Linked DNA regions of Schizosaccharomyces pombe. The protein of the gene in region 1 interacts with the protein of each later gene in a biochemical or structural test. Each region holds a gene or a part of one and is shown in the gene's direction. Other genes may lie near its edges.

What was found. Proteins that work in one complex are often made in the same cells at the same time.
Region 2: the proteins of rpc10 (region 1) and seb1 form a complex in vitro, tested with the Schizosaccharomyces pombe proteins (one study listed by BioGRID).

What each region holds. Positions count from the first base shown.
Region 1 is NC_003423.3:1,673,674-1,676,688, forward strand, and holds rpc10 (DNA-directed RNA polymerase subunit Rpc10), read left to right. Parts: upstream 1-1,965; 5' UTR 1,966-2,061; coding exon 2,062-2,137; exon of another isoform or gene 2,138-2,190; coding exon 2,191-2,306; 3' UTR 2,307-2,515; downstream 2,516-3,015. Other genes in the region: ATP-dependent RNA helicase Cdc28, read left to right, coding at 1-76; pmt1 (DNA methyltransferase), read left to right, coding at 393-560, 605-1,429; ubiquitin hydrolase Ubp11, read right to left, coding at 2,851-3,015. UniProt on the Schizosaccharomyces pombe protein: DNA-dependent RNA polymerase catalyzes the transcription of DNA into RNA using the four ribonucleoside triphosphates as substrates.
Region 2 is NC_003424.3:958,034-962,737, forward strand, and holds seb1 (poly(A)site selection protein Seb1), read left to right. Parts: upstream 1-1,851; 5' UTR 1,852-2,027; coding exon 2,028-2,384; intron 2,385-2,574; coding exon 2,575-4,080; 3' UTR 4,081-4,194; downstream 4,195-4,704. Other genes in the region: sno1 (glutamine aminotransferase subunit), read right to left, coding at 1-317; two-component GAP Byr4, read right to left, coding at 4,404-4,704. UniProt on the Schizosaccharomyces pombe protein: Involved in the processing of pol II transcripts.

The sequences.
Region 1 (3,015 bases):
GGAAATAAGCCCCCATTATTTCAAGCCAGAAAATATAGAAGAATTGCAAAAGACGCAAAAACGACATAAGCGGTAAAAGAGTGGAAAAGGAAAATTAGTTTTAAAGGCGATTTGGTTGTATATAATCATAATGAATTTATGTTTCACAATAATGGACAAACTTTTAAAAGATCTCATTTAGTTAGCTTCAAAAAGACGTACAGTTTTGTTTAAGTCATCATGTTGTATATTAATTACTTTTAATACTAAAAAACATTTTATCGTTTTTGAAAAGGCCCGAAATGCTCATGACTTTTCAAGCTTAACAAATCCAAGCAAAAAATCTAATGCAGGTAGGTCTTTTGTAACCCTCACTAAACGATTACCGAGTGTTGCATGCTCGGTTACATTCAATGCTTAGTACAAAAAGATTACGGGTCCTGGAGCTATATTCTGGTATTGGAGGTATGCACTATGCATTGAACCTGGCAAATATACCGGCTGATATTGTGTGTGCAATAGATATCAACCCACAGGCAAATGAAATTTATAACCTCAATCATGGAAAACTTGCTAAACACGTATGTTTCAAGGATTTACTCGATAACTATATTAATACTTATAGATGGATATTTCAACTTTAACGGCCAAGGATTTTGATGCATTTGACTGTAAATTATGGACTATGAGTCCCAGTTGTCAACCTTTTACTAGAATAGGAAACCGTAAAGATATTCTTGATCCTCGTTCCCAAGCATTTCTAAATATTTTAAATGTGCTTCCTCATGTAAATAATTTGCCTGAGTACATTCTAATTGAGAATGTTCAGGGTTTTGAGGAGAGCAAGGCAGCTGAAGAGTGCAGGAAAGTTTTGAGGAATTGTGGTTACAACCTAATTGAAGGTATTTTGAGTCCAAACCAGTTCAACATTCCTAATTCTCGCAGTAGATGGTATGGATTGGCTAGGCTCAATTTCAAAGGAGAATGGAGTATTGATGATGTTTTTCAATTTAGCGAGGTAGCGCAAAAAGAAGGCGAAGTAAAAAGAATAAGAGATTATTTGGAGATAGAAAGAGATTGGTCTTCATATATGGTACTAGAGTCTGTGTTAAATAAATGGGGCCATCAGTTTGATATAGTTAAGCCAGATAGCTCTTCCTGCTGTTGCTTTACACGGGGATATACACATTTAGTACAAGGTGCAGGCTCAATTTTGCAGATGTCAGATCATGAAAATACGCACGAGCAATTTGAGAGGAACCGGATGGCTTTACAACTTCGGTATTTTACCGCCAGAGAAGTCGCCAGGTTAATGGGATTCCCGGAAAGCCTCGAATGGTCAAAGTCTAATGTAACCGAAAAATGTATGTATCGCTTATTAGGAAATAGTATAAACGTTAAAGTTGTTTCATACTTGATTTCTCTATTACTGGAACCTCTAAATTTCTAAAAGCGGTTAGAAGTCAAAACTATTTTTTTAAAATGAAAGGAAAATTAATATTACTCGATAAAAGTTCTGCAAAAAAAGGCACTTATTTCAATTGGAATTACCCTTTAATGCATACAGTGTTTCTGAATGCTTTATATAACTAATTACCAGGACTAATTTCAAGACAAAGAAATCGTATATTTATACACTAAAAATTGGAGAACTCGGGGAATACATTATTTTTGAGCTATTGTATTTATCCTCACACGTACACATAATTGTTATGAAATATAAATTAAACAATCTAGTTATTTATCGATTTAAATTTAAAATTATGTATCCAGCCCTTTATTCTTTTGCTAGATTTAATAAAGGTTAAATTTAAAAGAACGTCAAAATTAGATACGAAATTATATTTGAAGTTTATATATCCAATAAATGGAAATGTACTTGAAGTACTTTAAATGAGAACTTTTAACTCATTAATGTATTATAAGATTAGCTTCCCAATTTTTTTTGAAGCGTTAATATTGAGAATAGTATGGTAGTAAAAATTTGCGCGCTACTACTCACCACCACAATTAGAAAGTTCAAGTGAGGAAGTAAAATCACAGGATTTAACTAGACTCAAATACACTAAAAAAGTTTACAAAATGAATCATCCAACCTCCACTGGCGGTACCGCTTTCAATCCCCCCAGACCAGCCACTATGATTTATTTATGTGCGGGTATGATCATTGAGTAGAATTAAATGAGTATATGATAAAAGACTGACCATCAGATTGCGGAGCGCGTAATACAATCCAAGCGAAAGAAGTTATTCGTTGTCGAGAGTGTGGGCATCGTGTTATGTACAAAATGAGAACCAAGAGAATGGTTCAGTTCGAAGCACGCTAAGTTTTAGAGTTTTCAGACTATGAAAAGAGAAAAACGGAATTATAACTTTTAAAATTTGAGAAATGGCTTAAAAATGGTGTAATATGCAGGTCCTTATGCTTAATTCGAGAAATTAGAAGGTCCTGGGGTTAAATGGATAACCCATGACAATAATAACATTTTGGATATTTGATGCATTAAAAACTGTGAATTGTACATGATGAGTATATCTAAAATTTTTTTTAGTAAATTATAAGTCATTTGGCGACGGTTTGAAAGTGCCATGTGTACTTTAACCATGCCTATAAAAAATCGTCCACTTGAAAATCTTAAAGTCAAGAAAACCGATTTTATGGACAGATACGGTGGATACATACATACATATATTTTCATACACAAGTTTTGCAAAATATTAGTATTGAATGCTTTAGCTACAAAACAACAGGTTATAATTTGAAGCTTTCAACAGTTTATAAAGGGTGACATCAGTCGGAATCATTAGGAGAAATATCAAGAATTTTTTATTAAGGTACAAAAACGTATACGATTAACTAGCATATATGCGCTAATCAAGCGCAAGAGGAGATTCCATTTCGTAAAACAAAAGACAAGCTGAACGAGTTTGACTGAGAGCTTCATTGAGAGATGATTTAGTAATTAAAGAATCATTAGCCTTCCACCAAATGTCATCTTGAAGTCTATAGCAAAGATAATGACCATAAGTAACACT
Region 2 (4,704 bases), on another chromosome or scaffold:
AGAATCATACCAGCACACGTTCCCCAAATAGGAAGTCCTTGATCAACCAAGTGCTCCAAACGATCACGAAGCTTCTCATCAATGTTGATTAATTTGCCAATGGTAGTAGACTCACCTCCTGGGATAATTAAGCCATCAATATTTTCGCAATCCTTAGCAGTTTTAACAGGAAAAGAAATTACTCCATCAATGGAATTCATTATATTAATGTGTTCAATAAATGCTCCTTGGAGAGCTAAAACTCCAATTCTAGCCTTCAACTGGGATTCGTCCACAGCATTGGTTTTAAGACTCCCGAACATGGATGCAGAAGACATTTTTTTAAAGTTTTTAATCGACTAGAAACGAATAAAAAAACAAAGAAAGTTTGAAAGAACTAAGAAAAACAAACGAAAGATATCCTGAAACCTATTGAACAAGTAGATGCTGATGAAGATTGATACACCCCTTACTAATCAGCAATGAATCACTCAAACCGTTGAAGATGGGTATTAAAGGATTGTGTTGTCTATGTTTATACCTTAAAAAAATTAAATCAAACGTAACTAAGAGATCCACTTTAAGTAGTATACAATGTGTCTCAGTTCATTAAGGCGGTGGTGGCTATAGGATAATAACCCAATCAGACATACCGGGGGTCATTATATAAGTCTGGCAATGTGGAAGCGAAAAATTATCGCCAGAATCAAAGATGGCAATAAAGATAGAATTGGTGGAGCAACCTTGAATCATATCGCAAATGATTACGCTCCTTAATAAGCAATATCATTTGGTACACCCATCTTCATAAGCATAACAAAGGAGACCTTGCACATTGCTAGACTCAGTTTACAAAATCAAATGCGATACAGTATATCACATGCTTTGACTTCAGTCATTTCACTAAAAATTGACTATCTAGACTACCATAAAACAGTCAAATGCTTTCTATATTATCCACAAATTAGGATATCATCAAGCATTAATGAAAAAAAATGCTAATGTCAACACAACTCTACAGTTCACAATTGCTTACAGCATTAACTACTTACCTCACTTTTATTCTCAAAACCCCCAACCACTAATAACTACTTACTGAATTTTAAAGATAAAATTATTTAATTACCTTTCCCACTGTGTTAAAAGTTCAATACGCATAGCATCAGCAAGTCTTCAACCTCTCTTTCAGTGGGTTTAGCAACTGAAAAAATTTAAATAAACTGCTTACTTTCAACGATAACAATATTATCTTCACCACACACTATCAATGTACGAAGTTAAATATTTTCAAACCTCACATCCTAAACCATCCAATGTTGTCAAATTCATGCGTCACAAATCTGTCAACAGAAGAAGATTCGGCGTCGCTTGCCAGTAGTGCAATAGCAAGAACACCAGTGTCGGAAAGCATAGCAAGCCAGAGGCTTTCCAACTCAAACCAAAAACAAGATTAATCGGAAACACCTCAGTGAGGTGATTTCAGCGATTAAACTGAAAAGAACAGATACTACACTTGATCTAAGCCAAAAGGCAAAGAGAGAATACCGAACCAAATGCACGAGTACCTGTATATATAGTAAATCTCATAAATAAACCCGAACCCTGAGATTACTTCGCAGTCCCAATTTTGTGGTCGAGGCTGACAAACTTGTTACCAGAAGGATCATGGGCATGAAATTAACAAAAACGCTACTCATTATTATTATTTTTTTTTACACTAAAAATTTTCATACATTTTTTAAAACAATATGATATATATTTTTTTTTACAAAGTGTGAAACTTTGGAAATTTTTAGCATCTCTTTAAGCACTTTCCTTACCCTTCCGTAATACCAGCTTTATAACCAGCATCACCTACTTCACCACTTAACCGTAACCATAACACAAAAAGTATTTAAGAACAGGGTGACTTCCTTTTTTAACGTCTTTCAAGCACGTGTAAAAAACTAATATAAGAAAAAAAGTAGTAAAATTCTTATAAAGGAAACAGGGTAGTTTTCTAGTTTTGAAAAGTTTTTTTTTTTTTTCATTGTCGTTTTTCTTGTGATATGTCGGGAATCGCTGAATTCGATGGTATTTTAGATTCCCTTGAACATTCCAAGACAGGAATCTCGGGATCAAAAATTTTGAAATTGACTAACTTGTCGATGGAAAATGTTTCAGAGAATGCGCAATTTGTTGCTAGTGTGTATAAGTATGCGAAGCGTGCTCCCGTCACCCATAAATTAGGAGCTTTGTATATTCTAGACTCAATCGTTCGTAGCTTTCAGGACGGTGCTAAAAAGAATAATGAATCTTTTGAAAATCCCGTTGATGCGTCTTTTAGTGGCGGCTGGTGCAAAGCTGCTGAAATAACTGATAGTTTGGTCGCAGATGCTATACAGCATGCGCCATCTGCTCATTTGGTATGTGTAGCTGAAGTTTTTCAAGGTTGACTACGGATAAGATCCCGTATGGATAATCGTATGCTCTCTCTGCTTCTGTATCAGCGAGACACTGTATGAGAGAGGTATTTTTTCCTTGTAATACAGTATCATTCTCTTTGAGAAGTCTTTTAACATTATTGGACTAATTTGTAACTAACTAAGCATGTAGCCTAAAATATTAAAGCTTTGTGATATTTGGGAGAAGGCTTCAACATTTCCTCCCGAGAAGCTAGAATCGCTTCGTTCAAAGCTGAAAGATGCAATGGCAAGTACGGAACCGGTTAGTGTAGATTCTGCTGCTGCTCCATCACAGTCTACTAATCCCGAGGGGAATGGTGGTTCTGTTGGTAGTCAAGCAGCCGCCCCCACTTCTCGTCCTGTCGAAAACGATGCTGCTTCTATTCTAGAGGCATTGGCTGCTTTCGCTCAAAAGGCGCCCGTCCCTAGTGCTGCCGAAGAATCAGTTAGCACTCCACCGCAGCCTGCCGTCGCACCATCCGTTTCTGCTGTCGTCCCTAACCTACCTGTTCATCCAGCTACCGCCATTAATGCACAGTCTCAGTCAGGCAATCCATTATCAAACCCTCTATTCCAACCTTCAAATGTACCACAGTCTATTCCCTCTGGTCCCATGGGGATGAAGACAGGATCGGTCAATGATACCCAGAGTCAACAGATCACTCTCATGAATGTATTGGCTTCTCAGAATGTACCACCTGCACAAATCGATAGCATCATGAAAGCTGCTTTTCCCAACTATAACGCTCCATTCCAGCCGGCTGGTGTCGGCAGTGTTCCTTTGCCAGCTCCTACCTCTTCCCAATCCTTAAGACTCGGCTCCTTACATCGTTCTCGTAGCCCTAGTCCTCGTAGTGGTCGCCCTCGTCGTAGCCCTAGTCCTTCTCATTTATCCATTCCTTCTACTTTGCCTCCTGCAGATGGTGTGCCAAAACCTACCCCTGATGGATTTCCTCGCCGATTTGAGCGTGACCCAACCATTCCACCTGATTCTATTAAGGTATACAGCCGTACTCTTTTCCTTGGTGGTATTACTCGTTCTGTGCGAGAACCTGTTCTTCGATCTATGTTTGAACGATTTGGGTCTGTACAAAGTTTAATTTTAAATCATAATTACAGACACGGGTTCTTGAAAATGTTTCGTCGTGATGCTGCAGAGAAAGCTCAAGTAGCGATGGAAAATGTCCCTTTTGCTGATACTACTATTCGTACTAAATGGGGTGTAGGATTTGGACCTCGAGAGTGCTCTGACTTTTCCACAGGAATCAGCGTTATCCCAATCCGTTTGTTGACGGATGCCGATCGTACCTGGCTTGTAACTGCAGAATATGGCGGCACGGGTGGCCTTCCGATTACTCCTGGTATCGCTTTGGATGAACCTGATATTGAAATTGGATTAGGAATAAGTTCTAAGGCAATTAGTAAAAGAGGAAAAGATTTTGCTATGCGTCGTGATGAGCGATTCCGGGGTCGTAAACCATATAGGGGAGGTCCACCCATTCACCATGGTGAAAGGCATTTTGATTCAGGAAATGACTGGCATGGTAATCCTAGTACCGTTCCTCCCCCTACCAACCCATATAATCCCGGCTATCCATATATGGATCCTAATTACTCTTCTGGGTATGTCTCACAACCTCCTTGGCAACCCCAATAATGTGTTAAAAGACGCTTACAAGTATTATAATGATGGCAAAAATGGTTTCTATATTACAGACGGTATTTAAGGGTATAATGTATTCGGTCCAAATTTAATTGATTATTTTCTTTGTATTGTCTTGTTCAAACAATCTAGTTTGTCTGGGTGTCACATTAGTATTACATTTGTATCATTGTTGTACATCTTATACATCTATTTGCAAACAAAATGAAAAATCTTCGAAGTGTATTAAGCTATGTACAAAAAGATCAAATCTGCGATAAACAAAAGCATTCGTATAATTATATATAAACATTCGCAAGGTAAAGACAAAACCTTGTTTATTGTTCGGCATTAAGTATATTATAAAGCTCCCATAGTCGTGACCTGTCATCGTTTTTAAATGAAAAAAACCAGCCATCAATTCTCTTTCGCCATTGAATATCTTCGCTAAATTGCTTTTTTTCAAACTCTGGGCCGACATCGTATATTTCACTCATATCTGGAAAATTGATTATTGAGTTTATGCTACCATTAAAGCTACCTGAATTTTCGTTCAAGTACTGCGAGGTGGAGTCTGTATCCTCAAGATCATCAAACCCGCTAAAGGGATCTTCCGCTTCTTGACCAGAAATCGAATTA